4 linked regions of the Arabidopsis thaliana genome follow. The protein of the gene in region 1 interacts with the protein of each later gene in a pairwise test. Each region holds a gene or a part of one and is shown in the gene's direction. Other genes may lie near its edges.

What was found.
Region 2: the proteins of AT1G76510 (region 1) and STO interact in a two-hybrid assay, tested with the Arabidopsis thaliana proteins (one large-scale study listed by BioGRID).
Region 3: the proteins of AT1G76510 (region 1) and SDG14 interact in a two-hybrid assay, tested with the Arabidopsis thaliana proteins (one large-scale study listed by BioGRID).
Region 4: the proteins of AT1G76510 (region 1) and AT3G52250 interact in a two-hybrid assay, tested with the Arabidopsis thaliana proteins (one large-scale study listed by BioGRID).

The regions. Positions count from the first base shown.
Region 1 is NC_003070.9:28,706,827-28,715,245, reverse strand, and holds AT1G76510 (ARID/BRIGHT DNA-binding domain-containing protein), read left to right. Parts: upstream 1-2,297; 5' UTR 2,298-2,512; intron 2,513-2,735; 5' UTR 2,736-2,747; coding exon 2,748-3,143; intron 3,144-3,280; coding exon 3,281-3,414; intron 3,415-3,516; coding exon 3,517-3,556; intron 3,557-3,933; coding exon 3,934-3,986; intron 3,987-4,066; coding exon 4,067-4,181; intron 4,182-4,392; coding exon 4,393-4,485; intron 4,486-4,849; coding exon 4,850-4,972; intron 4,973-5,059; coding exon 5,060-5,108; intron 5,109-5,192; coding exon 5,193-5,256; intron 5,257-5,529; coding exon 5,530-5,596; intron 5,597-5,781; coding exon 5,782-5,832; intron 5,833-6,047; coding exon 6,048-6,140; intron 6,141-6,223; coding exon 6,224-6,315; coding exon of another isoform or gene 6,316-6,319; exon of another isoform or gene 6,320-6,453; coding exon 6,454-6,565; 3' UTR 6,566-6,907; downstream 6,908-8,419.
Region 2 is NC_003070.9:1,827,357-1,832,893, reverse strand, and holds STO (B-box zinc finger family protein), read left to right. Parts: upstream 1-2,910; 5' UTR 2,911-3,028; coding exon of another isoform or gene 3,029-3,128; 5' UTR 3,129-3,205; coding exon of another isoform or gene 3,206-3,234; coding exon 3,235-3,417; intron 3,418-3,586; coding exon 3,587-3,907; coding exon of another isoform or gene 3,908-3,937; exon of another isoform or gene 3,938-3,989; coding exon 3,990-4,232; 3' UTR 4,233-4,554; downstream 4,555-5,537. Other genes in the region: AT1G06050 (ENHANCED DISEASE RESISTANCE-like protein (DUF1336)), read left to right, coding at 1,227-2,168; AT1G06045 (uncharacterized protein), read right to left, coding at 3,029-3,128, 3,206-3,372; AT1G06030 (pfkB-like carbohydrate kinase family protein), read right to left, coding at 4,764-4,898, 4,980-5,096, 5,188-5,520. UniProt on the Arabidopsis thaliana protein: Acts as a negative regulator of seedling photomorphogenesis and light-regulated inhibition of hypocotyl elongation. BBX24/STO and BBX25/STH function as transcriptional corepressors of HY5 activity, leading to the down-regulation of BBX22 expression.
Region 3 is NC_003074.8:22,850,019-22,858,988, reverse strand, and holds SDG14 (SET domain protein 14), read left to right. Parts: upstream 1-2,016; 5' UTR 2,017-2,440; coding exon 2,441-3,166; intron 3,167-3,249; coding exon 3,250-3,305; intron 3,306-3,389; coding exon 3,390-3,558; intron 3,559-3,827; coding exon 3,828-3,947; intron 3,948-4,019; coding exon 4,020-4,088; intron 4,089-4,177; coding exon 4,178-4,246; intron 4,247-4,338; coding exon 4,339-4,430; intron 4,431-4,566; coding exon 4,567-4,659; intron 4,660-4,861; coding exon 4,862-4,997; intron 4,998-5,104; coding exon 5,105-5,177; intron 5,178-5,263; coding exon 5,264-5,363; intron 5,364-5,454; coding exon 5,455-5,579; intron 5,580-5,767; coding exon 5,768-5,913; intron 5,914-6,012; coding exon 6,013-6,117; intron 6,118-6,259; coding exon 6,260-6,324; intron 6,325-6,405; coding exon 6,406-6,631; intron 6,632-6,738; coding exon of another isoform or gene 6,739-6,741; coding exon 6,742-6,981; intron 6,982-7,064; coding exon 7,065-7,154; intron 7,155-7,249; coding exon 7,250-7,336; and 8 more. Other genes in the region: AT3G61750 (Cytochrome b561/ferric reductase transmembrane with DOMON related domain-containing protein), read left to right, coding at 19-418, 503-1,092; RMF (reduced male fertility), read left to right, coding at 8,514-8,773. UniProt on the Arabidopsis thaliana protein: Histone methyltransferase.
Region 4 is NC_003074.8:19,373,789-19,383,019, forward strand, and holds the start of AT3G52250 (Duplicated homeodomain-like superfamily protein), read left to right. Parts: upstream 1-2,349; 5' UTR 2,350-2,598; exon of another isoform or gene 2,599-2,694; 5' UTR 2,695-2,840; coding exon 2,841-3,018; intron 3,019-3,729; coding exon 3,730-4,866; intron 4,867-5,093; coding exon 5,094-6,164; intron 6,165-6,727; coding exon 6,728-9,231. Other genes in the region: AT3G52240 (transcriptional regulator ATRX), read right to left, coding at 1-352, 722-1,031, 1,262-1,433, 1,529-1,694, 1,771-1,894, 1,980-2,011.

The DNA.
Region 1 (8,419 bases):
AAGAGAGAGATTTATCGTCAGTGGTACAGCTAGATGACAGTGAGAAGCCGCCGTATCAGAACTTTCTCACTCTCTCTCTATGAAAGAGAAAGAGCGTCTCCAAAATTTGGCCTAGTACAACACTTGCATGGTCGCCTCTTCATTCTATTTAAATTCTTGTCTATCCACAAAATGCTTTTTTCAAGAAACTAATCTCTTTATTTGGGGCAAACTTAGAAACTAATCTTTTTAACTAAGGTAAATTATTATTCTATGCATATGGGAAGAGAATTTCATATTTTCATCCTACATATTTTGTATGTACAACTTGGTGTCCGCATGATCCGGGTCAGACTTTTACATCTTCTTTGTTTTTGGAATTGTTTTGTTCCGTATAAGCAACAAAATAACGTATCATAGATTCATAGTTAGCTCCTTTTTGAATTCCAACTTTCACAACTTATGAGTTATGATATATCTCGTAAGTTTATGTCCTTTGATTTTGTATATTTTCCAATTTTTTGTAACCTAGTTTATGTACAAAAAGAAAGAGGAAACAGTTCCACAATTTTTGGAAAACTCAACTCAAGCGGGGTCTTTGTTTGTTTCGTATATTGTCGTATAACACTATTGAGAATAATAAGGCTTTATCTGAGAAGACGAATTTATATGGTAACCGTCGTCATGCCTTTCGTCACATCGACTACGAAACGTGCCCCATGTTTTTTTCTGGTTCTTGCCCAAGGTGTGGAGATATTGCAAAGTGTTCATCGATTGTTGAAGATTTATTATTTATTTTATTTTATATATTTTTTTAAAAAAAACATTTTTCTTTTTGTCATCTATTTTTAAGGGGAATTGTTATAAAAATGTACATTTTCATATGCGTCGTAAGAAATTTGAAATGGAAACAAAACTGAATGAGAATAAGATAATAGTGTGGTGGCTTAAATTAATTGTGTGATGGAAGCGTACCAACGAAACGATCGAATATTAATGATAACGGAAAATTCAAATTAGTGTGTGAGGCTGCGACCAGTGTCCGTCCATAAAATTCAATGCAAGATATAAATGTAACAACCCCAATATCAAAATAGTCGACTAATTCTTACCAAAAAAAAACAATTAGCGAATAATTAGAATTATCATACAGTGCTAAAAATATGTATATATATATATACGAGATACAAATATTTAAGTATATATTGTCAAAGTGCAAATTTTAGTGATTTATTAATGAAAAATACACAATAGACTGGATAATTGTAGAAGTGGGATATATTATACACACTACAATAAAAATCTCTTATGTGACTCGAATCCTATAACTCTTCTCATGTGAAGCAAGAGATATTAGACCATCCTTAATTCCTTATATGTAAGCTTATTGTATATGCAACAAGCCTAATGAAGGCCATGTCATGAGCTATCTTCTTATTTATCTATCTTATTAGAGCATGAATAAACTTGTTTGTATAGGATTTCTACTCACACAAGAGACTTGTGAATATGTATTTTTAAAGAGGTTAATTAACAGTATTTGATATTTCTATGATCTCATAGCTATGAATATGATGATTCAAAGAACGTGAACAAAAGATATCTGTAACAAAAAGAAAAGGACAAAGATATGTCAAATTGAAATGCTCCACTCGTTTTAATGTCCGTGAATGAAAATAACAAACTTGACATATATTGAAAATCTTGATTTGTACTATTGGAAATGTGGGGCATCAAAGACTATTATTCCCTAAAAATAATGGTCCTTAATTCATTAGAATTTTGGACAAAAAGCTTTGCTTAATTCTGTACCATTTTGCTTCGAATGAATATGCTCATACTATTTGTTATCCTTTGGATCCACACCAATTCATTAAATTGCAATTATTTGTCACTTTGACAAGTACTATACCTACATACTGAGAAAATCATCATCACCATAATTGTAAAGTTAATCACGTTAATTATATGCTAGCTAGTCTATAATTAAAGATTCAAACACTATATTTTTTTGGTACAACAAAAACTCTATATTGAACATGAACGCACAATGCTTCGATATTTCTTTCTCTATCTTTAGTAACAAATAAAAACACAACAACAATCGAGACAAGCAGAAACCTACGTTGTCTTCCGTGTTTAATTGGGCCTAAGATTATATTCATAATATACCTTACATATTGAGCCCATAGTTTACAATAATGGGCTTTGTTATGTAAATGGGTCGTAAAAGTCCAACTTTCTGAAATATCATTAATAAGTTTTGCTATTAAGATCTTCGTTAAGAGTTAATACAAGTAACAAGCATTAATTTCTTTCTTAATGAATTCATGTGTTCATTATATCATCCGTATAAATCTTTTGATCTGCATATCTCTCCGTTTAATTGATATCTTTCCGTTTCTCGCTTCTTTTTCTCCGCCGGCGTCCTTCCATTTCGCCGGCTGCTATCGAACCCTAACCCGCGACGACTCCACCGTCTCCGGCGTCTTCTTCTTCCGGCGAAACCGGTAACCGTATCTTTTGTTTCTATGTATGTACTCCATGATTTCGTGAAGCTCTGCTTTCTAATGCTTTAGTCGCCATCACTGTTTGAATTATAGCGAATCAGTGAGAGAGTAGGACTCAGAGTTTTGATGCGTTCCAATTCTCGATTACATGCGTCTTGCATTCTCTCTGGAATTATCAATAGTGCGTTTCTATTTATGATTTCTGGATTTTGAATTCTGCGTTGTTGTTGTGATGCTATGTCTCAGAGAATTAGCTTCATGATGGCGGATACTGAAATGCAAGAGCAAGATGTGCCGTCTGGTACCAAAGGTGTTGTAGAGGAGCCTTCAGAACTAGAGAAAGACCTAAACTCTATTGAAAGACCTAAGTCCCCTGTTCCAGAGGATACGACTCATACTTTGGATAGTGATGTTCATTTATCTGATGCTCCCATTGCTAATCAAATTGAGGCTAATGAAGAGGTTGGTGGTCAGAACAGTGTTGATGGGAGGAATGGTGATGTTGATCAGTCTGAAAAGAAGATTACTAGTGATGGCGGTCAAGAGGAGACAACACTTGGGGAATCAAATCCTTTGAAGGGGGATCCGTCGAGTCCTCATGTTCCTGAAGAAAGTGTTAAGAAGTGGAAGACATGGTTGTTGAGTGATGCTGAGGTGATGAGAGCACTTTTCTGTCACATTTCAGACAACTAGTCTGCCTGCATTTGCGTTAAGCGTTGAATATTGTTTTTTGTGAGATCTGTGGTCATCACAGTGGCTCTATTTCATCACGAGTTCACGTTTTTATACAGGCCAGGGAAGTTGATGAAGCAGGGGCACCACAGGATCAAGAGGCGTTTATTAAAGAAGTGGAGGCCTTCAACAAGGAGAATTTCCTGGAATTTAAAGCCCCAAAGTTTTACGGACAGCCCTTAAATTGTCTCAAGTGAGTTGTTGGAAGTGTTGCTTTAATTCTTGGAAAATTCCATACTTTTGGTTATGCCTTGTTTGACGTGATAACGTCTGCATGCTTTACTTTGAAATGTAGGCTTTGGAGAGCCGTTATCAAGTTAGGTGGCTACGATGTGGTAATGATCTACTTTCGAACTTCCAATGATTTTATGTTTACTAAGATCTTCTCCTCCCTCTTCCCCTTTAGGAGGTTAAAAATCTTTTAGATTATTATCTACAGGTCATGCGATTTATACGTTTTGGGTTGTATAACGTGTGAACTATAGCTAATGAATGAGAAGATGATTTAAGAACAAGGAATGGCTTCCGGAAATAATTAAGTCAATGCAGTTATGTGTTAATTATGTTAGGTCTGTGTTTTGGCAACTGAACTTGCTTAGTGTCATCTACTCTGTTTGAAAGTTTATACTCAAATCTATCCCACCGCCCACGTTGCTTGAAACTCTATGTCTGTGGTATTCAAAATTCCTATGATTTTCATTTTCTTATATAGGTCACCACATCTAAGCTATGGCGGCAAGTTGGAGAATCGTTCCATCCTCCAAAGTATGGCTTGTATTGTCCTCAATCTTCAACCTTTTCCGCTTTCTTGTATGAAATTGACTTTCCACATTTTTGTTATTCAGAACATGCACTACAGTCTCCTGGACATTCCGCATTTTCTATGAAAAGGTGAATTTCATTTTTGGTCTAAGTACTGAATATGCATTGATATTAATGAGGTTGTACTTGTTCAGTTTAGTTCATACATGTTCGATTCAGACAATGTTCTTTTGCTCCTTTTGTCAGTAGTGTGTCTGAGACTAGCTGGTTTCGTTATCATTTATGTCGTGGTTTAGTAGCCTTCTAACAGTTTATTTGGATTGACTCCTTCCTAACATGGAGTCTGGTTGATTTCTATCCTATCAAGATGTGGAAATTTCATTATTTGTATCCTTATTTCCAACCGCAGGCACTTTTGGAGTATGAGAAGCATTTAAGGCAAAATGGTGAGCTTAACCTTCCTGGTTCAGCTTCTCTTCCGTCTTCAGGCATTGAAAAGGAGGTTAGAATTCCTATGAAATTGTGTAATTCTTATGCTTTTGGGTAGGTGAACACTTTGAGAGGAGGTCAATTTAAGAGTAGGTAAACCATGTTGTTAAATTAGATAAAGTGAAAGCTCTGCAGTTCTTTATAAAATCATTTTATACAGATGGAAATTTCGGGCATGAGTAATATCAGCTTAACATGTTGAATACTACTCTCTGCAATCTGATTGAATAAAGCTGTACCGTTTTGTGTTATATGGGAAACATAAGAAATAATATGTACACAACACAGCTAATTACCAATTTAAGCTCCCTAAAACAGAATTTTAAACTTTATATGCCTTCCCTTTTTCTCTCATTGATATAAGGGCACTTATGTAGGCAAGTAGCCATCAAGCTTCAGGGTCAGGCAGAACAAGAAGAGATGCTGCAGCTCGTGCTATGCAAGGTTGGCATTCTCAGCGCCTTCTTGGATCTGGGGAGGTTACTGAGCCTATTGTTAAGGTTTCTATTTAGACCTTACCACGTTTCATAATTCACCATGCACAAACTTACGCTTCAACATGATTCTGTTTGTACATATATTTTCAGGAGAAAGGCTTGAATTCAACCCCAAAGCAAAAGAACCTCAAAAACATTGGTAATATTCCTAAGCGATGGCTATTGTTCTCCACTACCTACAGAATGATTACCTAATGCCACCGTGTATAAATGTTCTTTTCAGGTGTGCAGAAACAAAAAACAACAACCGGCATGGACCTTGTTTTTTCACACGAATCAGAAAAACAGTTACGAAAGATAATCATCTCCTGTATTTTTGTGTTGCTTATGCAAGATTGCTTTACCATGTGCAATTCCATACAATCTTATCCATCGAAAAACCCTGCATTGTCAATGTTTGGTAGATCACAAGCACTGTTTTCTGGGTGGTAGTTGTAAGAACTGCCATTTCAGAAATAGCGCAGGAGATTAAATGAATACAGAGAATTTTGTAACTTGTCTTTTCATTTCGTTTATTATAATCAGAGCAAAAGATTGATAATATGGTTTTGGCTTGATAGGTCAACTGCCGAGGTTATAGATGTTGGACCCCCTGCAGACTGGGTGAAGATCAATGTCAGAGAAACTGTGAGTACCACTTCCGCTTCCCCCCTCATATAATGCAACGCTTACCCAACTCTTGAAACTAGAGACATGAGAAAGAAAAAAAGTCAAAAACAACACTGCCTGAAGAAAGGGAAATAACTGCAATCTGGGTTTTTGTTTTGAATCTGAAATCTTACCAAATTTATTTTTGTTGTCTTTATTTACAGAAAGACTGCTTTGAGATATTTGCCCTGGTACCTGGACTTCTTCGCGAAGAGGTGAGCTTTTCTCCTTGGAATTCAATCTCTAAAGCTTCTTTGATCAGTGTTTTGTCACTGGAGTGTTACTGATTCCTACGACATAGATGTGAACATATACTGGATTCGAATCTAAATACACACACTGTTGTCCGTTGTAATGAATTTCATAGTAATTTTTTGTGTGATTGCACACAGAATCTAGTTCCTCAATATAAGTTGATTTCTTCTTTCAGGTCCGTGTTCAGTCAGACCCTGCAGGGCGGCTAGTTATAGCAGGCCAACCTGAGCAACTTGACAATCCTTGGGGAATCACACCCTTCAAAAAGGTTAGATTCTAACACTCCAAACAGAGCCCTAGTTGCTAATTGAAGGATAGTTGTCAATTGTTTTCCGATTTTGGTTATGGTAGGTTGTGAACTTTCCCGCAAGAATCGATCCGCTGCACACGTCAGCGGTTGTGAGCCTGCATGGTCGACTGTTTGTGCGAGTCCCATTTGAGCAGTGACCGGTCTCATCCCAAGTGAGCTAGTTCTTTATTTGTCTCTTTGTTTTCTTTTAGGAATTCGTTTGTATCAGAACTAAAAACAAACGATAGCAAATGTGATAGTTTGACTGTGACTTGAGTTCTGAATATTAAAGTAGAGAAATGAATATTGATGTTCCATATAAAGTTAGTAAGGAAGCTGTTCCTTATACCTTCAAGTATGCAACCAACAATCACAGTGTCTGGTATATATCTTTTAGAAAATGAAGTTTTCATCTGTTTTCTCTGTTTATTTCAGTTTCAGGTTTCACATAAAGAAAACTTACAATTTATAGTTCAATCAAGTTAAATGGCTCCTATTGTAGGAGAGTACTGAAGTTTTATGGGCTGGAAGCTTTTGGGTTGAGTTAAATGGCCTGAAAATTAGGCCTTAGATGTGTCGTGTTGCTTTCGTGATCCACAATTGCATTCATATATATATATATATATATGATGAGGAAAGTCAAGAAAATTTTTTTTGAAGAAAAAAACTAAACATATTATTGCAACTTCCAATTTGCATTAGACCCAATATTATATATTTACATCTAACACGTTTTGTGATTTTTAGATATTCATGCTTATCTATTTTCTGTTGACATCAGACAAAAATTAGCAAAACATTCTATTGTAATAGTTAATAATATGTGACTATACTACTATAGTATACAATTTTTGTTTAAGTTCTCTCTTTTTACAACCGTGAGATTCTTGGTCGAATTCATACCAATCTTCAGAATTTATGAAAAAGTATGATATTATTTTCATGTAAAACAATTACAATAACAAATCATACTTAAAAATGTTGTAGTTCGAACCATGATCCTTTAAGTAACATATGTTCTTCAAGCTCTATGGCCCACACAATAGTGTAGACCTTCTTCTTTTTTGGGTGTAAAATAGTTAGTAGTCTAGATAGTGTAGAACATATGTTACTTAAAGGATCTATATATCTATCCAATCATAATTCGTATATATAGGGAAACCTTCACATTTACGTTTACTTATCAGCCGTTCGTATAAAACACACAATGAACAAGATTTCTTAACCCAATCGTTGCTCAACTGCATGTAAGGCACTTGACATGAGCACATGGATATCTTAAAAAGATAAAGTCACAGTGCATGTATCGAAAAGGTCTCAAAGTACATTACCCTTTATTCTCTTTACATGGTTGAAGCCCTAAAATGTCAAATATATGAAAATTATGAAAATAAGAGGTTTTTAAACCATCTCTCATTCTCATTGTATAACAGTAAACATGATGAGACTCCATTTCTTATATACATAAATGTCACCTGTCTTCTCTTAGAAGCTCATTGAAGATATTTCACCACAAATCTCCTTTGGACATGCATTGGTCATGTACAAGCTTTTCCTTTCACTTGATTTTCTTTTTAAATATACGTTTTCATACGGTCCATACATAGTTTCCCTAGGGACTTGATGCATTCCTCATTTTCACACATCTTTGTACTTAAAGCCCCACTTGGCTGTGTTGTTATAGACTTTCCTAATCCTCTAAAAGGAAACTGATAAATGAAACTCTGGGACAAATTTTTCATATTTTGGTTTTGGCAGGTCATGTAATGTTCTCGTGTTTAAGCCATTAACTTGTAACCGTCGAAAAATCATGTTTATATCGTTGTAACGGGTGGGCGAATCTTTTCTTATAATCGACAAAAATATAGTATGCAATTATCACAGTAACCGCTGTCTTTAAAACAAACTCATAAAATTCTAAATAGTTATTTAGTTTTTCGTAAAATTTCTAAAGCGTTATTTACTTTTTGGTAGATTCTTAACGCGTTATTTTCGTGATTAATTGATAAAAACGAAGAAATATTCATATTGATCTCATCGAAATACAATGTAGAACTCAGTTGGGTGAAACATGTACTAAATCAGAGATTCCATGCGTAAACAAGATATTCAATCTAGAGATTTTCAAATCATAAAATCTCGAAGATTCATGTATGGTATCTAGATGAATTAAAAAGAACAAGATGTTTGATTTGTTGGTTGATTACTTGATAGACATAGTAACATAGATTGAGTGATTACCTTTGATAACTACTCAA
Region 2 (5,537 bases), about 27 Mb from region 1:
TTTTTAATGTTTTTTGGTTATTTTGACGATTTTTGACAAAAAAAAATAGGAAAAAGTAAAAACTAACATTACTTTTCTTTTTCTTTTTCTAATTTTTTTCCTTTTTACTTGATTAGGTGTAAAAATTAAGGGAAAAAAATCTTATAGTTTGAATTATATAATCTCATACTTGATTAGGGAAAAAATCATATGGTATATAGTTTTATTTTATAATATTCATAGTAAATAATCATATATTTTTTTTGTCATAATAATCATAAATTTTTGTTAAATCCAAACTAATAATATTATTTTTATTTTGAATTCTATTAATAATAATTACTAGTTGGACTTGGACCTTATTTCCAGTTGGAAGTTTAATTAATTAGATATGAACTAAAGCGTTACGCCACGGAAGAATTTAGGATCTGTTCGCAGCATCCGTTTCAACGCTAAATCCAAACAACAAAAGAAGATTAGCAAAATCGGATTATCTTCTTTGTTTCTTTTCCCTTGACAAGTCTTCGTTTTTGAATTAGGGTTTTTGGACAATTCTTCTCTTCTTCGGCTGCAAAAGGTTTATTGTTTGCTCCTTGTCCTGCGATTGAATTAGTCTTTTGTTATTTGTATCTCTCAACTTTGATTTTTTCCTTTTTATTATTGTAGCTGATTCCTCTTGAACCTCTGAAACTTGTTAATCGTTTCTGGGTTTTGATTGCTCTGTTGATAAAAAAAAACGTTTTTTTTTCCGTTTCTTCTTATGTGTTGTAGATGAATGTAAAATTCAATTATCTGGGCTCTGTCTCTGTGCTTTGTCTATTGAATGGTATGCATGTTATTTCAGATAATCTAGGGCTTAGGTTTGTAGAAAATCTCAGAATCGTGTATGCTGAATTTTGATGTCATTACTCAGAATTTGAGTCAATTTACTAACTTTATTCTAGTTTCCGGTGTAGCTATGACTTGAACCGGAGTTACCAGCTCCTAGTTTTTGTTTCTTTGAGCAATTTTTGTTTCACTCTTTTCTTTTAAAAAGTTCTTGTGGCATAGTATGAATCCTATGGGAAATTAGATGAGGAATAGATAGAGCCTCAGACATACATGGTTCTGTTTTCTGATCACATGTTTTGGTCTTCTTGATGGCATATTCTTGTTTGCTATATTCACTAAGTAGAATCCATGAGATTGTTTTCCACACTCAGTTTTACTCAAGGATTTAAGCTCTGTGTTGCAGGTTTTCGCAAGATATGGCTGGCTCTGTTGGTGAGGAAACTGAGCCAGAATGGATTAAGAGAGTGAAATTAGAGGGAGCTGTTCCATGTCTTAAGCCAGACGACAACTGCAAAAATGGTTGGACGACGCCATCTCCTGACACATTTATGGTTAGAGGACCAAAGTATTTCTCTGACAAAGTTAAGATACCTGCTGGTGATTTCCTTCTAAAGCCTCTGGGTTTTGATTGGATTAAAGGTCCTAAAAAGCTTTCTGAGATCCTGAGTTATCCAAGCAGCCGAATCAGGAAAGTTATCGATGAGGAGTTTCAAAAAGATGGAACTAAGCCTTTTGTCTGGGCATTCAATCTCCAGCTTCCTCACAAAGACAATTACAGTGCTGTGGCTTACTTTGTTACCACAGAGCCTATCCTTGAAGGCTCCCTGATGGATCGGTTTTTGAAAGGAGATGATGGGTTCAAGAAATCGAGGCTTAAACTGATTGCAAACATTGTCAAAGGCCCTTGGATTGTTAGAAAAGCTGTTGGAGAGCAAGCGATCTGTGTGATTGGACGTGCACTCTCTTGCAAATATGTTTCAGGGGAAAACTTTGTGGAGATTGATGTCGATATTGGTTCTTCAATGGTCGCTAGTGCCATTGTTCATCTCGCATTTGGCTACGTTACTACATTGACAGTTGATCTTGCGTTCCTCATTGAGAGTCAGACCGAAGCAGAGCTTCCAGAAAAGCTACTAGGAGCTGTGAGATTCTCTGAGCTGCAGACCGAGTCAGCCACATCTATCGAACTGTCCTCAAGCACCAGTAATGACCAGTGGGATCAAACTACCTCAGAGCGGTCGAGCTGGTGGAAATCGATTGGAAATGGATTCTCTAATCTGCTTAATCAAGATACGGCCAACATGAACAATACTTCTCATGGGGACATCCAGAAGGATGAACATGTACAGAAGCAGTAAGTGTTTTGGGAGTTATTAACTTCACAATTCTTTGAATTTGTTCGATTTCATTACCAAAAAACAGAAACAAAAACTTGTCAATTCTTTAAAAAAACCACAGATGTATAGATTGGTTTTTACTAATATGGATGGATATGTGATATCCAACAACAATTCTTGTGACCAACCATGCCTAATTTTGTATTGGTGTCTTTTAGGATCATTCTTTTTCTCGAACGGGCTAAGCATTCATTTCTTTGTTAGTTAACATGCCAGTATATTTTTAATGATTGCATTAATCGTTTTTATGATTGAGAAAACGAAAAAGTGAAAGAAGAAGAAAAATCTGATCGAATGGTACATATTAACATAACATGTCGTCATTCCAAGGAATCAATTCACATGTCATTTTCAAGATTACGTGTAGTCGTGTAATATTCTCTGATTTGAGTAATACCATTACCCAACTCTTTCTTTCTAGATGAAGCCCATTTTTGTATACAAATCTTTCTTGAAATCGTAAAAGTTCACGAGACTTGAAATTCGAGCATATCATATAAAAGGAGCGTAAAAGTCTAGTGGTGGTGGAATTATTGAAGTTAGTTTATTAGTCAAAATTAATGTGTTTTGACTAGATTAGTAAACAAAACACAAATCTCTACTACGTGAGAAAATAACAAGAATATAAAATAGCAAAGTGTGAATATAATAAAAATATCTAAAGGTAGGAGAGATGACGAGAGGAAGAAGGAGAGCCACAGAAAAAGAGTGGGACCCGCAAGACCTTGCTGTAAGAAGCAGAGTGTTTCCTTTTGATACGCAGAATAATGAAAACAAAGCAACAAGCAAGATTCATCAAATCCTTATCTTCTCTCTTTCACTCACAACCAATTGCTCATCCCACCTACTTGTTCCCCACAAAACACTCTCTCCCTCTTTGTTCTTTCATCTTCTCTAAGCTCTTTCTCTGAACCTACGCTTCTGCTAAGCTATTCTAAGAGAAGCCAGACTAGCAATAAACCCTTCATTTTAAGCATTCTGTTTCCTTCTTGAGAAACCTAGATATTTTGGTTTCTTGTATCCGGTGATGAAGATACAGTGTGATGTGTGTGAGAAAGCTCCGGCGACGGTGATTTGTTGCGCCGACGAAGCTGCTCTCTGTCCTCAATGCGACATCGAGATTCACGCCGCTAACAAACTCGCTAGCAAGCACCAACGTCTTCATCTTAATTCCCTCTCCACCAAATTCCCTCGTTGCGATATCTGCCAAGTAAGTTTCTCTACAGATCTCATTAGATCTTGTCAAATATTTTATGGATTCGTTAGTTTGAATCTGCTCTGTTGCAAAGTTGTGATTTTATAGATCTTGTAGCAACTGTTGTATGTATGCCTTGTTGTTTAAGACTAGGGTTTGCTCATTATGTTCTTATGACTTGTAGGAGAAGGCAGCTTTCATTTTCTGTGTAGAGGATAGAGCTCTGCTTTGCAGGGACTGCGATGAATCCATCCACGTGGCTAATTCTCGATCTGCTAATCACCAGAGGTTCTTAGCCACTGGGATCAAAGTAGCTCTGACCTCAACTATATGTAGTAAAGAAATTGAGAAGAATCAACCTGAGCCTTCCAACAACCAACAGAAGGCTAATCAGATTCCTGCTAAATCCACAAGCCAGCAGCAACAACAACCTTCTTCTGCTACTCCACTTCCCTGGGCTGTTGACGATTTCTTTCACTTCTCTGATATTGAATCCACCGACAAGGTAGTGATGAGAATTGAGATTCAATGTTAGATCACTTTCTTTGCAAGAAGCTTTTATTGACTTCTTGGTTTAAATTGAGCAGAAAGGACAGCTTGATCTTGGGGCAGGGGAGTTGGATTGGTTTTCAGACATGGGATTCTTCGGTGATCAGATTAATGACAAGGCTCTTCCTGCAGCTGAAGTTCCTGAGCTTTCTGTTTCGCATTTAGGTCATGTTCATTCATACAAACCTATGAAGTCAAATGTTTCACACAAGAAGCCGAGGTTTGAGACCAGATATGATGATGATGATGAGGAACACTTCATTGTCCCTGATCTTGGCTAAAAAGCTATATGTAATCTATGTGTAGACATTCTTCAATGTAAAAGAACAAACAAGAAACCTATCTGCATGTGTGGAGTTAATGTCATATACATTTTAGTTTTGTCTTAAGTTGTGTAAGATATGTTGAGAGCTTATAACAAATGTCTGTGTTTGAGTTTTGTTCATACCTCTTGAACATGGTCTATGCTTAATGCTTTGATGCTACAAACTTGATACTAAATGTGTTCTCTCTGTTCTTTCTTGGTTTTTTTTTGTTTGTTCCTGATTATTACTCTGTTTTCAAAGCCTTGAGAAACAATCCTCAATGCAATTTACGGTTCCAAACAACTACGAAAAACTCTTTGTTTTCTATTAGCAAGAAAAGCTCAGAAGTCACAAGTCTGTTTTATTCAATACAATGAAGAAGAAAAAGAAAAGACAGAGAGAGAACCAAAAAAAAAAAACATTACAAATGATCAGAATCATCAGGAAGAATCCAGAACAGATTATTACAATAGACAAGGAGAATTCTGGACTCGAAGAGAAGTTTTACTATTCTACTTGTATCTTAAGAAAACTGAGAGCTTCACAATCTGTAGGAAGAGCTGGAATGGCTCCCTTTTTAGTCGTCGTGATTGCTCCACAAGCGTTTGCAAATCTCAGCACTTTTCTCAATCTCTCTTCCTCCTAAGAAACGAGAAAAATCAGTAAATATCATCAACAATATTCAGTTGATTGAATAGACACACAATATCAATGGGAGTTAACCTCGAGTACAGATTGATCATCAACAATCTGGTTTAGAAGCGCGCCAACAAAAGAATCACCAGCTCCAGTAGTATCCACAGCGTCAACATGGAAAGTTTCAACAGATCCATGGAAATCCTACACAAGAGTCAAGAGAACATCAATCAAAATCACACACCAAGATCATCATGATGATGATGAATCCACATGAATGTTTGTTGTACATTACCTTAGTGTAGTAACGACATCCATTTTCGCCAAGTGTAACAAGCAAGAGCTTCAAATTAGGATGCCACAGAGACATAGCTGTCTCATCATCAATCGTTTTGTTTCCTGTCAAGAACTCAAGCTCGACGTCACTGACCTTAATAATGTCAGCCTTGTCCCAGATACTCATGATCTGTTTCCTAGCTTCTTCAGGGGATGGCCACAGAGGTTCCCTGAGGTTTGGATCGTAGGAAAGAAGAGCTCCAGCTTCTTTCGCCACCTCCATCGCCTTCATGTGAGCTGATCTACATGGCTCTGTAATCAAACTTATTGATCCATAGTGAAACACTTTCGCCTGCCAAATAAAGAAAA
Region 3 (8,970 bases), on another chromosome or scaffold:
GCTTGCTCTGTTTTGCAGTACTCAGAAAACAGAGACAATGTGATGACGATTATAGTATCGGCTTTATACACAACCGGGTGGGTTGGGATTGGATTCTCGAAAGAAGGAAGAATGGTTGGATCAAGCGCGATGATCGGATGGATTTCGAAAAAGGGTCACGCCAAAATCAAACAATACTATCTCCAAGGAACGGAGAGAGACCAAGTTGTGCCGGATCAAGGAGAATTGCAACTACAAAAAGTCCCGCCGGTGGTGGCTCTTCACGGAGCAATGATTTACTTAGCTTTCCAGGTGAAATTCGCCGTTAGAGTTCCTCGGAGAGCTGTCATTCTAGCGTTTAGCACTGCTTATCCTTCCAAGCTAGGCCGTTTGACTAAGCATGATGATAAAACTACAGTCATCGTCGATTTTTCCAAAGGTAATATAATGTATATACTAGTCTAATCTATACATGTTAAAAACAGGGGAGAGTTCAATAGTTGTATGTTCTTGGTCAATGCAGCTAGTGGAGCAACCTCCATAAAGACGACAACTTCTACGGAGAAGACAAAACATGGAGTAATGGCGATACTCGGATGGGGTTTCTTACTTCCTGTAGGGGCAATCCTAGCAAGATATCTAAGACATAAAGACCCTCTTTGGTACTATCTTCATATCGGTTTTCAGTTCACGGGCTTTATCTTCGGTTTAGCCGCAGTTATTCTTGGGATTCAGCTTTACAATAGGATCCAGCCGGATATACCTGCGCATCGAGGCATTGGGATCTTTCTTCTAGTCCTTAGCACTCTTCAGGTTTTGGCTTTCTTTGCACGGCCACAGAAGGAGACAAAGATGAGGAGATATTGGAATTGGTATCATCATTGGATTGGGAGGATCTCTCTCTTTTTTGGAGCAGTGAACATTGTTCTTGGAATTCGAATGGCGGATAATGGAGGAGATGGATGGAAAATTGGATATGGATTTGTTCTGTCAGTCACGTTACTTGCTTTTGTTGTTCTTGAAATATTCAGGATTCGTGGCACTATCGGCTCACCATCTTCTCGCAGCCCTCCCTCTTTTGAGACACATCCAAGTTCTAGTACTAGTGTTTGATTCAAGATCTTCTGTTTTTTTTTTCTTGTACATAAAGGTACTTTTTTTGTTTTCCCCATAATCATTGGTCACTGATTTTATAGTCCATATGTGTTGTAATTTTTTTTTTTTTTTTTTGGTTCGGCAATATGATTTTCAAGTGGAAATCGGTCTTGGTTTAGACTTTAGAGCAACATGGTGATATTTGTTTTTTTAAGGTTTGTTTCTTTTTGGATCTCAATTTGTTGTCATGTAAGTTGAGTTTTGAAGGTTGTTGTTCCTGGAAAGTGAAATATACGTAATTCTTTAATTCCTTATGAGTTTGTAAATGTGCATAGACGTCCCTAGACCCTAAGGCTAACATTATGGAGCGATTAACAAAAATATGGTCCTTTTGTATGCAAATGCAATCTCTCATCTTTCATATAAATCATGAACGTATAATTGGATGATAAGTTTTGAGTCTTATTTGAAATGAAAAAAGGATCATCTTCCTCCATTGTCTGGTAATGTCAAAATGTTGTTGCATGAGAAACATACAGTGTTCATATTGGGCCTAACTCGAAGTTGTTTCTTTTATTAATTGTCAAAATGTTCCACGAGAAACATCGTAGGCCCAATATGTAGCCCAACAAGCTTCGATTTTTCTAAATAAGTTGTGTGACAAGAAGAAAAACGAGAGAGTTATTTATTGATGCGCCACGTCAGATTTGATGAAAAGGAAGATTTCGACTTGGCGCTCTCGTACGCCTGAAAATTCGCAGTCTTCCCTCGTCCCCAATCCCTGGAGCCAAACACTGTTCCATTCAACCGCCACGTCAGCATATTCGTTTTTTTTATTTTCGTTTTTATTATTTGTTTAGGCGAATTAATTTCAGAATTAACCATAAAATAATAATAAGGAGAAATATATAAACCGACGACGGACGGTGTGTGTCTCCTTCATCAGAACACAAAGATCCTTCTCCTCCTCTTTTGTTTTCCCTTGCCGTCGATTTTAAGGTTTTATCTTCTCCGTACTGAAACCGACTGATAATTTTCTCCAGGGAATCTACGAGGAGGATTTGTTGTTTCTCCGTCGTTTTAGAGTTTAACGATTTCTCCGTCGTTTGATTTCTTAATTCTATCCTGTTGAGGGAAACGAGAATTTGGTTTTCGTTTTCGAATTTAGGGTTAGAGAAGCGGTTTCGCATTGGGTTCGTTGACTATTGAGCCAATTTGCGAGAGGAATTTAAACGTTACGAGTTTCTTCTTTTTCCTTCCGGAGGTCCGAAGTGCGAAATCTGTTTTGTTTGATGAAATTAGGGTTTTGGAATCGGAATTTGGATAGTCGTTTATGTTGAATAGGCGAGGATTGCTTAGGTAGGATATGATTTTGAAACGGACCTTGACGACATTCGAGAATCAGAATCTGAAGCGGTGCAAAATTGATTCAGAAATTGAGTATGGGAGGAAAAAGGGTGAGATTATAGTGTATAAGAAGAGACAAAGAGCAACCGTGGATCAACCATGTAGCAAAGAACCAGAACTTCTTACTAGTAGCTCAAGCTCCTTGACAAGCAAAGAAGAATCTCAACAAGTTTGCTCTGACCAGTCCAAGTCTTCGCGTGGCAGAGTTCGAGCGGTTCCTTCTAGGTTCAAGGACTCCATTGTTGGTACATGGAAATCTAGCCGTCGCAAGGGAGAGTCGACGGAGTCTAGTCATGATGACGACGACGTATCTCTGGGGAAGAAGGTCAAAGGTTTCAGTGGAAGCTCGAAATTGCATCGCAGCAAAGACTCGAAGGTGTTTCCACGTAAGGATAACGGAGACAGCAGTGAAGTAGATTGCGATTACTGGGATGTTCAAATTTCCTACGACGATGCTAACTTTGGTATGCCGAAAAAGTCCGACGCCTCGCGTAAGGGCGTGTACAAACCAGAGGAATTTACGGTTGGCGATCTTGTGTGGGCCAAGTGTGGGAAAAGATTCCCAGCATGGCCGGCTGTGGTGATCGATCCGATATCACAAGCGCCTGATGGGGTCTTGAAACATTGCGTCCCTGGCGCAATTTGTGTCATGTTTTTTGGGTACTCCAAGGATGGAACTCAGAGGGTAATCTCTTTAATCCTAATCTGTCTTCAAGCTGGCGTTTATTTTTACTATCTTTTTTTCTGAAAACTTGTGGTCATTAACAGGACTATGCATGGGTAAGACAAGGGATGGTGTATCCATTTACGGAATTTATGGACAAGTAAGTACATGAGACGCTCTTTCTGGAAATCTTTCATACTTGTGTGTTTGTTTCTTGTTCCTTACTAGTCTTTCATCTCTTCAGATTTCAGGATCAGACAAACTTGTTCAATTACAAGGCAAGTGAATTTAACAAGGCACTAGAGGAAGCAGTTTTAGCAGAAAATGGTAATTTTGGAGATGCTGAAATCATCTCCCCAGATTCCTCTGCGACGGAATCCGACCAGGACTATGGACCTGCTTCTAGATTTCAGGCACGTTTTCTTGACACATATTCCTTTTCTTTTTTTTGGTTAGATGTTCAAGTTTGCTCTTCTAATTGTTTTGGGAAGACAAAAGTAAATCAATTCTGGACAGTTCTATAAGCATCTTGTAGTGTCTACGTCTGGTGATATACTTTCTGTTCTAAGTCATGAAGTTTAAACATACTACATAGGCGTAGATGTACTGTTTGTATCTGACTCTTTTATAGTTACTGGAAATACCTTCCCCTAAACGATTTGCTGATTTAATTATTGTGTAGGGTTCATATCATGAGGACATAAGGACATGCGACGGTTGTGGCTCAGTAATGCCATTAAAATCTCTAAAAAGGACTAAAGACTCACAACCGGAAGAGCTTTTATGCAAACACTGCTCAAAGGTTCTTATCAAAACTTCCTCCCTCTTCAGTTTTCTTTGATCGACGGGAATTGAATCCAAATTTTTGTTTCAGTTGCGGAAATCCAATCAGTATTGTGGCATCTGCAAGAGAATATGGCACCCTTCAGATGATGGAGATTGGGTGAGAATATCTGTGACCATGTTTGGTGAAATACTGACCTGAGTAAGAAATTATAATATCTATATAGCTGACTTGATTTGATGTATTAGGTTTGTTGTGATGGGTGTGACGTATGGGTACATGCTGAATGCGACAACATTACGAATGAACGCTTTAAGGTGCCGTTATACATCGCCGTGCATCTTATCTTTTGATTTTAAGTATTGAAGACTATTGTCGAATGACTGTTCTAATTTGGTTTCATCTTAAGGAACTGGAGCACAACAATTACTATTGCCCTGATTGTAAAGTCCAACACGAGCTTACGCCAACAATATTAGAAGAACAGAACTCAGTGTTTAAGTATGTTGTTAACATCTCATGTTCTCTCACTTTAGTCTTCTCGAAAAAAATATCTTCTCCTGCTTTTATTATTTGCATTGTTCTATTGCTAATTCTTTAATTTGCAAAATTCCTCTTCACAACCTCTTTGGGACAGGTCTACAGAAAAGACAACAGAGACTGGGCTGCCTGATGCGATTACTGTAGTCTGTAATGGCATGGAAGGGACATATATCAGAAAATTTCATGCGTAAGTATTAGATGCATCATCTTTATTTCAATTTCCTCATTTGAGCAGGATTTTGTTTGTCCATGACTGTACAATGCAATGCCGTAAGATGATTTTTTCTCTGAAGACGACAATTCTGCGCTTGATCCTAGGCTTCTGTTACCATTCTCTTGTTGTTCCAGAGATTAAAACAACACATTTATCTTGGAACTATTGTTTTCAGAATTGAGTGCAAGTGTGGTTCATGTGGGTCAAGGAAGCAGTCACCAAGTGAATGGGAACGGCATACAGGCTGCAGAGCCAAAAAGTGGAAGTATAGTGTAAGAGTGAAAGACACAATGCTACCTCTAGAAAAATGGGTACATCCCTTATGCTTAACTCTCTCATAAACTTTCCCTTATATACCCCTGAAATTTACATGCATGATGTCTATAAGAAGTATAATACTGACAACAAGATATTACAGATTGCAGAATTCAGTACCTATACTCTAGAAACCCAGATGTTGGATAAGCAAAAGATGCTCTCTTTGCTAGAAGGTAGAGTATATCTTAATTCTTGGCGTCCTTCTTTTGGAGTTTAAAATTGCTAAGATACTTGCTTACTACTTATTTTATATGCACAGAAAAGTATGAGCCAGTCAGGGCTAAGTGGACGACTGAAAGGTGTGCTGTATGCAGATGGGTAGAAGACTGGGAAGAAAATAAAATGATCATCTGTAACAGGTTACTTTAATGGCATAATTTGGTTATACTGAATTCTACAGCGTTCTTATAACTAAACATGAGTCATAAATCTGACCAAATCTGTAAGCAGGTGTCAAGTGGCTGTGCACCAAGAATGTTATGGGGTAAGCAAATCTCAGGACCTCACTTCCTGGGTATGCAGAGCATGTGAAACACCAGACATTGAGAGAGATTGTTGTCTTTGTCCTGTAAAAGGTACTACTGCAGAATTAGCTCTCTTTATGATTTTTTTCCTGATCTTGCATTAGTGATGTTTTATTCTTGACTGTCCTGTCACAAGGTTCCATACAGTCATTCTGAGAATTCGCTTTTGGGTAGATGTGCTCTAAATTGAACTCACTTTCCATATTTCTAGTTCTTTCCTGAACTCTTCCATTATGTAGGTGGTGCTTTAAAACCAAGCGACGTTGAGGGTTTGTGGGTTCATGTAACATGTGCTTGGTTCCGACCGGAAGTTGGGTTTTTGAATCATGAAAATATGGAGCCTGCTGTTGGACTTTTCAAAATTCCAGCAAATTCATTTCTTAAGGTATAAATGAATGCTAGAAGTGGAAAGTATAACCAACATGTTCTATTAGAAGTTTTATTATATTATACATCATTCATATTTTCTGAAAATTCCTTTTAGGTTTGCACAATTTGTAAGCAGACACATGGTTCCTGCGTTCATTGCTGCAAGTGTGCAACTCACTTCCACGCAATGTGTGCATCACGGGCAGGTTACAACATGGAGGTTAGTCAAGTCCTTAAACTGCTTAGCCTCTGTGCTTATGATAATCTTCATTTTTCACGTTAAACCCCTTGCAAAGGTGTTCTGTCCTGTTAGTTAATCATCTTAGGGATGTGTAAGTGATGTTTTTGTCTATGGAATTTAGTTGCACTGCCTGGAAAAAAATGGTGTGCAGAGAACCAGGAAGTCAGTTTACTGTTCATTTCACAGGTTTGTTTCTCCGACATATTCTTTAACTGACCTGTTATGTGATACTGGGACCAACTGATCGCCTGTATCATTACTATGTAGAAAGCCAGATCCAGATAGTGTTGTAGTTGTGCACACACCCTCAGGAGTATTTGGCTCTAGAAATTTGCTTCAGAATCAATATGGGCGCGCCAAAGGTTCAAGACTCGTTTTGACCAAGAAGATGAAGCTTCCAGGTTTCCAAACCCAAACCCAAGCTGAACAGAGTCGTGTATTTGATTCTCTTTCTGCAGCAAGATGCCGTATCTATAGTAGATCAAACACAAAGGTATGCATCTGGGGATCTTGTTTATTCTTGGACGTTGGAGAGTCTTTCGTTATTAACTATTCCCTAGCAAAGCTACTACTTCATATCTTTTACTGCTGACGTTTCAGAAGATTGATCTGGAGGCTATATCCCACAGGCTTAAGGGACCAAGCCATCATTCTTTGAGTGCAATCGAGAATCTAAACTCTTTTAAGGCAAGTTTCTCATTCCGAGCTCCATTCATGTCAGTGTTTTGCTTTCTTGGGGCAACGTTTTCTGAATATCTTAGGAAGATCTTAATTTCCATTTACCTTGTTACACACCAGGAAGCAGATTTTACATCATTCAGAGAACGGCTAAAACATTTGCAGGTAAACATTGATTCATGAAGAGTTAATATTTTCTCCATCTTGTTATCCTAGAATATTTATAAACAATATATTATCTTCTTCAGAGGACAGAAAATTTTCGAGTCTGCTTTGGTAAATCTGGCATACATGGATGGGGTTTGTTTGCAAGGAAAAGTATTCAAGAAGGAGAAATGGTATTTAGTTTACGTTGTATTATTCGTGGTTTTGATATGGCTAAATTGAAATTCTTGAGGCAAACTAACTACTGATTATTAAAATTCTTGTGCAGATCATCGAGTATCGTGGGGTGAAAGTTAGGAGAAGTGTTGCAGATCTGAGAGAGGCAAACTATCGTTCGCAGGGCAAAGATTGTTACGTAAGTTCCGATTGCTTGCTTGCTTAGATTAAAACATTAACCGCTGCATCTAATAAGTAACTTATTGTCTAACAACAACAACGCAGCTATTCAAGATAAGCGAAGAGATAGTAATTGATGCCACAGACTCTGGGAACATCGCACGATTGATCAATCATTCAGTAAGTTCCCTAAATTGGCACACGAGATCAAAACCTGGTAATTAATACTAAGGATGTTTATGTCTTGTGCAGTGTATGCCCAATTGCTATGCTCGTATAGTGAGTATGGGTGATGGAGAAGACAACAGAATCGTCCTCATTGCAAAAACCAATGTCGCAGCTGGGGAAGAGCTTACGTAAAACATTTCTTCAGCTTCTCTTTTCATAAGATATAGATTAAATCCATATGCATTATTAACCTTGATCATGAAAACCTATTTCTCTACAGGTATGATTATCTCTTTGAGGTTGATGAATCTGAAGAGATCAAAGTGCCCTGCCTTTGTAAAGCTCCAAACTGCCGCAAATTCATGAACTAGAGCTCTCTTAAGTCTAAACCATTCTTGCAAACGTTCAAACTTGCTTTCTAATTGAACAGTAATGGCGGTGGGAAGCTAACCGATTTGTTTCCTCGGCGGCTAGCTTACGGGAAATCCCTTGACATGATGCTGGCTTCTTTCCGATTGATTCATTAAATGTACATTCAGCTAGATACTTTTCCGGCGTAGCAATTTTGTAAATGTCTAGAATTCACCGACTCTAAGAAAATAACTTCACAGCCAACAACCTAAAGTTCCAAAATGTTGAAGTGTTAATATAGCTTTTAACATTTTCCATAATACAGTTTCTGAATTTTCTATTAAAAAAAATCCATACTATCTTGATTTTTCATAATCATGGAAACCACACTCACTGGGACCCTCTCGGTTAATGCTACGTCTGTTGGTGCTAAACCGGGTTCTAACTAAAATTGAAAAGTATTTTAAAAATTTTAAAATCTACAGAGGTAGAAAGTTTGTTACAGGGGTATATACGTCATTTGACATTCGAAATTTTCAAATTCGCTGTGTCTCCCTCGCGGCTATATATCACAGCTACACGGTTCAGAGCAAAAACCAAATTCTGAAACAATTTTCCGCTTAACAAATTAGCGACTAGTGAGATACTGAGTGAGAAGAGAGATAGAGAGAGAGAGAATGAAGACGAGATCTAGTGATGCCGAAGGAGATAGTAGAGGGAAGATGATAGCTCCGGTGGGAGAAGGAAATGGTGGACGGAAGAGAAAATTGGTGCAGAGCAACGAACAGAAGAACGATATTCAGAGAGAAGAAGATGGTAGAGCTAAGAGAAGAATCGTTCAGAGCAGCGACCAGAAGAACGGGAAGATCCTCAGAGGAATTCGTGGCTGTGTATCTCCACGGTGCTCTGCTCAGACTTACCAGTCTCGCTTTTCATGGTATTTTCTTCTCCCCTATGAACGAAATAGATCTATTCTCAGATATTATTTGTGTGTGTGAGTTTGGGTTGAGCTCGAATTTGATTTTGAAATGTTTGTACGGCGTTTAATCTTACTGTATTGGATGGATCTAGGAGATAGAGTTCGATCAATCATCTTCGGTACCTTCTGGAATCAATTTGATTTGTATGAGATTC
Region 4 (9,231 bases), on another chromosome or scaffold:
GCGACCGAATAGTTGATGAAGAATGCTCATTGATACCTTTACTGCTCTGTGGTTGGGAATACTCACTTGTAGGGCTCTCAGAAATATGTTTTCCTTTGTCTCGAGAAGAATAAGCATCTTGTTCCACAGATCTGGAACCACAACTATTGCAGCACTTATCAGGTGACGTTACTGAATTATCAGGTGAACCATGCGACAAAGTTTCAAACGATTCTCTAAAGTCAACTTCATTAGCTATAGACCTTGTATCACGGAGTGAAGGGACTACTGTAGAACCTTGAAGTGGAGATTGAGCTTTTTCTCCGTTACTTTCATCCGTCACATCTGAATGGTTTCCAACGTCACATAAATCCTGAAAGATTGGACAAGAAGTATTGTTCAGGAATTCCAGTGAATTAAGCGGAGACTAAGTTCAACCTTTGTGAACTAAGATATCTTCATAGATAATGTCTTCAGAAACAATATGGTTATATAACAGTTAATACAAAGAAGAAAAAAAGCATACATTTTTCATAACTTTTTAGCACAATGGAGAGAAGACAGAATAAAAGAATCAATGTATACGCATGCAAACCAAATATAGAAAACTGCAGCATATGCACAATTATCAACGCCACATAAAAGAAACTTTGTTGGTTGATTCATATAAACACGAAATATACCATAATCACAATTGATGAAAACAATTTCTAAAGGTCAAAGCCTGAGATATAGGGCATACCAGGGCAGATGATTTATTCTCTCTGAAATTTTTCTCCCATTCCCTTTGAGTCTCTTCCATTTCTTCAAAAGATCCGATAACTTGAGCACGGTTTTCTAACGCTCTCTCCAAGTTGATGTCCGTACTGTTTCCCTTCTCTAAACCATTTGAATTTGACAACTTGTTCAAACTATCGTCTCCCTTCACAACAGCAACATCCACCACGGTTCTAGATACTTGATCATTCTTTTGAGGAAGCATTTCAGTGCGAACTCCATTTTCTTGAAATTCAACCGGATTTCCATCTCTCTTGTAATCCTCAGATACATTTCTGGAAAGTTGAAAAATGTTGGTTATTCTATTACACAACATACATAAGCAAGCTTTACAATTGCTTTACTAATAAAGCGATTTATGATGTATATAATTAGAGAGACGATTTCTAAGCATATAACCTTCAATCTCAAATTTCTAAGCACTGTGTTTCTAGGCAATGCTTGCACAATTTGTAATAGTAAACCACTCATAAATCACTGAGCAGCTAAAGATAACAAAACAGACCTTGCTTCACCACGTCTAATTTGCCGACAAGATCTTCCTTGACGATGTCTCGGTGAGGAAAAATAAGCACACTCGAAACCTCTGTGATGTCTCCTATTCCGGTTTTCCTTGATCTTGTCAGAAGAACCTGGTTCCCTCCTGCGACCTTTCCAGGACAAACTTTTGCCTAACACTAAAAAACAAACAAATCTCCGACACTGAGAGTTGCTCAAATCTCATTAAACCCATGAATCAGAAACTTTCCTCCTATCACATAAAAACTCTAACCTGAGTTACTCTGAGAGTAGCATTCATGATCAGAGTTTGAATCATAATCATCAGACACATCATTATACCCATTTTCCTCTAAGATCGCAAGAACATCAGCAGTTGCCTGTTCAGCCTTCTTCCTCTGTAAAGATACAATCTTGAGCTGTTCCTCTAACTCAGCTACCTAAAGATATTAAGACAGGACATAAGACTAAAGAACATTTCACTGGATCATCCCTACAAATTATAAAAGAACATACTTTATCAGCGAGACCATCAAGCTTTGCTCTAGCACTCTTGGAAACAGCTCTTTCAGCTAATAAACGTGCACGAAGAAACTCAATAGTCACTGAAGTAGGATCTTGTGCCTCTGAATCAATACACCTATAAAAATGTACCAAAACCCAAATCTAAATTTCGATTCGCAAAACGATCTTATTCATCTGGAAAAAAAAAGACAGAACTATACCGATGATGATCTAACTTGTCTTGATTCGCCATCGTGTAGACGAACCAAAAGATCTACGAACTTCGAAGATCGGTGTGAAGAAGAAGACGTCTCTCTCTTTGCTTACACAAGTCAATGAAGATAGTTTTTTTTTTAATCTTTCACTAATGTATTTTACTCTCTTCTCATTGGTTGTAAGTATTTACTAATTTCGATTTTATACTTTTTTGTGTAGTAGACAAAGTCATGGATTTGGATTGAGATTTACAGAAAAAAAAAAGTAAAAAAAAAAAATGTCTTTTTCAGAATAGGAGTAAAATAATATAAATAGAGCGGACGCGAAAAATAAAATGAAATAGAGTTTAATTGGAATCTTTAGGTTACAGGGATTATTTTCTCTTTCCTTCTTCTTCTTCATTGTTCTCTCTCTCTCTATCTCTTCTTCTTCTTCTTCTTCTTCTTCTTCTTTGGATTTTGTGAGCTAATAAACAGAGAGGAATCGCCATAAAAAAACCTACTTTGTCTTTCAACACCGAAATTAAAGGAAATCTCTTTTTCTCTATTGAGCTTTTTTCTTCAGCGGTGAAATCTCCCTTCCTTGTCTCTCAGTAGTGATTTTTACATACAGCTCCGCTCTCAGGTTTCTTCCTCTTTTGATTCTGTTTCCGCTCTTTTTGGGTTTACTTCGGATTTTAATCTTCAGATTGACGAAACCCTAGTTTGATTTTGGTTTCAGAAACGACGAGTCTTCATTGATTTGGTTTCCCCACCAGCTCTTCTTCTTCTTTTTTTGTTCCGAGACCTTTTTGACGGAGGTAGGTACGGAGGGAATCTGGAGTTGGGTTTGAAGGATACTCTTATGCGATTCTTCTGGATAACTTGATGCCGCAGGATCACGCTTCGTGGGATCGGAAAGAGCTCTTGAGGCAAAGGAAACACGATAGGCCTGAACAATCTTTTGAATCCCCGCCTTTTCGATGGAGGGATTCGCCTTCTTCTCACCATGTTCCTCGAGAGTTTTCTTCTCGTTTGGGATCTGGAGACTTCCGCAGACCTTCTTGTAAGACCTCCTTTTCTCTCTCTAATTTAGGGCTTTGAATTCTCCTGCTCTGTTTTTGGTAGAGTCTATTTTTCTGTGGATTTGTTAGATATCCACTTTTCCTTTTTGGTTCTATAATTTTTTTTGAATTGATTTAGAGGCAAATCCTTGTTTCTTAGATTGAGTTCTCACTGTGTCATGATAGCTTAGGGTATTTTTGGAGCATTAACACAGCTCTTAAGATTGATAGGAAGTGAATTGATGAGGTTACTCTTCAAAGGAGCAATTTTTAATACTCAGGTAGATTTAGTTTCATTGCAAGAGGACTTTATTACCTCAATTGTGTTTGTGTTTTGTGTTCATGAATCTTAAAACGGATAAAAAGTCCTAGCATCGTGGAGTGTTGTTAGTTTTAGTTTTACATGTTGTAGATTTAGATGAAGATAGCTCCTACTTTTGCAGGTTTCTTACTTGTATAATTTTTCCTATTAGTATTGAAACCCTGTGTGGGCGTAATGACACTTTTTTCTCCTAACTTGACTTCGTGTTATAATGATTCTAAGTTTGACTTCCTTTTGGAGAATCTTATACTACATGTTTTGACAGCAGTAAAAGTCTAATTTTTTTGGATAGATGTCGTTTTTAGTTTCACAAGTTATATATTTGGTTGAATACAGGTCTTGCTTTAGTTTGTGATTCTCATCTTCCTTTTGTCTTCAAAATTTTCTGAAGGTCATGGTAAGCAGGGTGGACGGCACCAGTTTGTGGAGGAGACTAGTCATGGATACACATCTTCTCGGTCCAGTGCCCGAATGTTTGATAATTATAGGCCATCAGCATCGCGTGGAGACTGGAGATATACCAGGAATTGCAGGGATGATAGAGTTTCTGTAAGCCAAAAGGAATGGAAATGCAATACATGGGAGATGAGCAACGGATCTTCTAGAAGTTTTGAGAGGCCATTTGGTATTAGAAATGGTCGGAGGTCAGTTGATGAAAGGCCGCTACATGCTTCAGATACTCATTCTACCGTGGTGAACTCTTTGGATCCAGCCAACTCGGCTCATTATCTGGACAATGAGATCAGTACCCCAGTACGGTCTCTTAAAATTAAAAATGAGCATAAATTTTCAGATCAAAGGTTATCACTTCCTTCAGATCCTCATTCTGAATGTATTAGCTTGTTTGAACGGCCTTCTTCTGAGAACAATTATGGCAATAAGGTTTGTTCACCAGCAAAGCAATGCAATGATTTGATGTATGGTCGAAGGTTAGTTAGTGATAATTCATTAGATGCTCCAATCCCCAATGCAGAGCTGGAGGGGACTTGGGAACAACTTCGCCTGAAAGACCCGCAAGATAACAATAGTTTACATGGTATCAATGATATAGACGGTGATAGGAAATGTGCAAAGGAGAGTTCTCTGGGAGCAACTGGGAAACTTCCACTGTGGAATAGTTCTGGGAGTTTTGCATCTCAGAGTTCAGGTTTTAGTCATTCAAGTAGCTTGAAAAGCTTGGGGGCTGTTGATTCCAGCGATCGGAAGATTGAGGTTCTTCCTAAAATTGTTACTGTGACTCAATCTTCTTCAGGAGACGCTACTGCCTGTGCCACAACTACTCATCTTTCTGAGGAGATGAGTTCTAGAAAGAAACAACGTCTCGGGTGGGGTGAGGGACTGGCGAAATATGAGAAAAAGAAAGTTGATGTTAACCCAAATGAAGATGGAACAACATTGATGGAAAACGGTTTAGAGGAACTACATTCGTTAAACAAAAATATTGCTGATAAAAGTCCCACAGCAGCCATTGTTCCAGATTATGGTTCCCCTACAACACCATCCTCTGTAGCTTGCAGTTCATCACCAGGTACAATACAATTTGTTAATACTTCTCTCTGCGTGCTCTTCTCATTCCTGATCTATTTGGAGTTATCTGCATTATTTTCATATTACTTGAATTCTTCCATCATGTATCTGTTCTTGTAAACACTGATTTTGTTTTTCTCTTTTTATCATGTCTTCCATTTGTTTTTGTTATCTTCTGCTGGGGACAGTGTAACTCACTCGTAATTTTATTCTTTTGTGTACATTCAGGGTTTGCTGATAAATCATCTCCGAAGGCTGCTATAGCTGCTAGTGATGTCAGTAACATGTGCCGTTCGCCTAGTCCCGTGTCTAGTATTCACCTTGAACGATTCCCAATCAATATCGAGGAGCTCGATAACATCTCAATGGAGCGTTTTGGCTGTTTACTCAATGAGTTACTTGGTACTGATGATTCTGGTACAGGGGATTCCAGTTCTGTCCAATTGACATCAATGAACACATTACTTGCCTGGAAAGGTGAAATTTTGAAAGCTGTGGAGATGACTGAATCAGAAATTGATCTCCTTGAAAACAAACATAGGACACTAAAGCTTGAAGGTAGAAGACACTCTCGTGTTGTTGGACCCAGTTCATACTGTTGTGATGGAGATGCAAATGTGCCCAAGGAGCAGGCTTCTTGTAGTTTGGATCCTAAGGCAACAGCTTCTTCTGTAGCTAAAACACTGGTGAGAGCTCCTGTGCATCAGGCTGGTTTAGCCAAGGTTCCTGCTGATGTTTTTGAAGATAGTCCTGGGGAAGTTAAACCTCTATCCCAATCTTTTGCCACTGTTGAAAGAGAGGAAGATATACTGCCCATACCATCTATGAAGGCAGCTGTTTCTTCGAAAGAGATTAACACACCTGCTTTTGCCAATCAGGAAACTATTGAGGTTTCTTCTGCTGATGACAGCATGGCCTCCAAAGAAGACTTGTTCTGGGCTAAGTTATTATCTGCCAATAAGAAATATGCTTGTGAATCATCTGGAGTATTCAATCAATTGCTTCCAAGAGATTTTAATTCGTCTGACAACTCAAGATTCCCTGGCATATGTCAAACGCAGTTTGATTCTCATGTCCAAGAAAAAATTGCAGATAGGGTAGGCCTATTGAGAGCTAGGGAGAAAATTTTACTCCTTCAGTTTAAAGCGTTTCAGCTCTCATGGAAGAAAGATTTGGATCAGCTAGCTTTAGCAAAGTACCAATCAAAGTCTAGCAAAAAAACAGAACTATATCCGAATGCAAAAAATGGAGGGTATCTGAAGCTTCCCCAATCTGTACGCCTGAGGTTCTCTTCTTCAGGTAAAGTTCTCAAACCTCTTTTCTCTTCTATTTACTCTGATATATTAAGCTTGTCGTGGTTTGTCGCTGTCTGGGATGAAGTTTGGCTTTTATGATGTGTTAGTTGTAGAGACTTGAATTATGTGATTTTTCAAGGGCGTGAGGTGTTGAGAGAAACATATACAACTCTTGAGAACTATTGTTACAGAGCTGTACATAGTGGTCATAATTCATTATTTGCAAGCTAAGTTCAGAGTCATTCCATGCTAACGTGTTTGTTGGATGTTGATAACGCTATTTTAATTTTATGTTAGATGTTGGTTTTATTCTAGTATTATATCCACTGTAATATTCATTTTAACATCTAGCTTGTTTAACGAGGAGGTATAGTTTAAGCAGATGCTTATTTCTTGTCTATCTTTTATGTTGTCGTAGGTAAATATTTGTCTTAGATGCTAACTAGAAAGTATATCAATACGCAGGAGATGATTGCGGTGTAAAAATTTGGGATAATGATCACAGATGAATTGAAGCCTTTTTTCATCGAATTTAAAGTTAATAACTGTTTTACACTACCTGTGCAGCTCCAAGAAGGGATAGTGTAGTCCCCACAACAGAGCTCGTAAGTTATATGGAAAAGCTACTTCCGGGTACCCATCTAAAGCCTTTTAGAGACATTTTGAAAATGCCTGCTATGATTTTGGATGAGAAAGAGAGGGTGATGTCGAGGTTTATTTCTAGCAATGGACTGATTGAAGATCCATGTGACGTTGAGAAGGAAAGAACAATGATTAATCCTTGGACCTCAGAGGAGAAAGAAATCTTTCTGAATTTGCTAGCAATGCATGGGAAGGATTTCAAGAAGATTGCTTCATCTCTTACCCAAAAGACAACTGCGGACTGTATTGATTACTACTACAAAAACCACAAGTCTGATTGTTTTGGGAAAATAAAGAAGCAGCGTGCTTATGGTAAGGAAGGGAAGCACACCTACATGTTGGCTCCACGAAAAAAGTGGAAACGTGAGATGGGGGCTGCCTCTCTTGATATTTTAGGGGATGTCTCCATTATAGCAGCAAACGCTGGAAAGGTTGCATCAACCAGGCCGATCTCTTCCAAAAAGATCACCCTTAGAGGTTGCAGCAGTGCTAATTCATTGCAGCACGATGGAAATAACTCTGAAGGGTGCTCCTACAGTTTTGATTTCCCACGTAAGAGAACTGCTGGTGCAGATGTTTTAGCTGTTGGTCCTTTGTCACCAGAGCAGATAAATTCTTGCTTAAGGACTTCTGTGAGCTCTAGAGAGAGGTGTATGGATCATCTGAAGTTTAATCATGTCGTAAAGAAACCTCGGATATCTCATACTCTACATAATGAGAACAGCAATACTCTACACAATGAGAACAGCAACGAAGAAGATGACTCATGTTCGGAAGAGAGCTGTGGGGAAACAGGTCCTATTCACTGGACAGATGATGAGAGATCTGCCTTTATACAGGGTTTTTCGCTTTTTGGCAAGAATTTTGCTTCAATATCAAGGTACGTCGGGACAAGATCTCCAGATCAGTGTAAGGTTTTCTTCAGCAAAGTTCGGAAATGTCTTGGGTTGGAATCTATAAAGTTTGGATCTGGAAATGTAAGCACATCCGTAAGTGTTGATAATGGCAATGAGGGTGGTGGGAGCGACTTGGAAGATCCTTGTCCTATGGAGAGTAACTCTGGCATAGTGAATAATGGAGTTTGTGCCAAGATGGGTATGAATTCTCCTACCTCACCTTTTAATATGAATCAGGATGGTGTTAATCAATCAGGCTCTGCAAATGTGAAAGCCGACCTTAGTAGATCAGAAGAAGAGAATGGGCAGAAATATTTGTGTCTGAAAGATGATAATAATCTCGTGAACAATGCATATGTCAATGGCGGTTTCCCGAGTCTAGTTTCAGAATCTTGTAGAGATTTGGTAGATATTAATACTGTTGAGAGCCAGTCTCAGGCTGCCGGAAAAAGCAAGAGCAATGATCTCATGTCAATGGAAATCGATGAAGGTGTCTTAACATCTGTCACTATATCTTCCGAGCCATTGTATTGTGGCCTAAGTGTTCTTTCCAATGTTATTGTGGAAACCCCTACAGAAATCTCACGAAAGGGCTCAGGAGATCAAGGTGCTACAATGCCTAAATTTAGTTCAAAGAATCAAGATGGAGTGATGCAAGCTGCAAACAGAACCAGAAATTCTGGCCTTGAACCTGAAAGTGCACCTTCAGGTTTCAGGTACCCTGAGTGTCTTCACCATGTTCCGATTGAGGTGTGTACGGAAAACCCTATAGGCGTCAGTGCACCACGAGGAAATCCAAATTGCCATGCAGAGTCCGAGTCAGGAAATTCTCTTGTTGGACAAGTTGACGAAACACATGACTTGGGTTGGCCCAAGAACAATCTGGAATTGGATGGGAGGCTTCAGGTTTTAGGCCATGTAAACCCTGAGCAGATTGGTCTACTAAAAGCGACCAATACAGAATCTTGTCAAAATCCCCAGAGATCAGTCACCCAAGATCTGAGCAGGATAAGTAGATCAAAATCTGATTTGATCGTAAAAACCCAACGTACAGGTGAAGGCTTCTCACTCACCAAGTGTACTAGTTCAGCTCCTAAGCCTCTGGCAGTATCCCATAAAGAGGGCAGATCTGGTCATAGCAGGAGCCATTCGTTTAGTTTGTCTGATACTGAGAGACTCCACAAGAATGGAGATGTGAAACTGTTTGGTACAGTACTTACTACTGATGAGAATGGAATAAAACAAAAACACAATCCATGTGGAATTGTCAGGTCATCATCAACCTTGAGCAGGGACCATGATACAAGACATCATTACATTAATCAGCAACACCTTCAGAACGTTCCCATTACGAGCTACGGTTTTTGGGATGGCAACAGAATTCAAACCGGGCTCACATCTTTGCCAGAGTCGGCCAAGTTGCTTGCAAGTTGCCCTGAAGCATTTTCCACGCATCTAAAGCAGCAAGTTGGTAACAGCAAAGAGATTCTGGTGGATGTTAATGGTGGAATTTTGAGCTTTGGTAAGCATAAC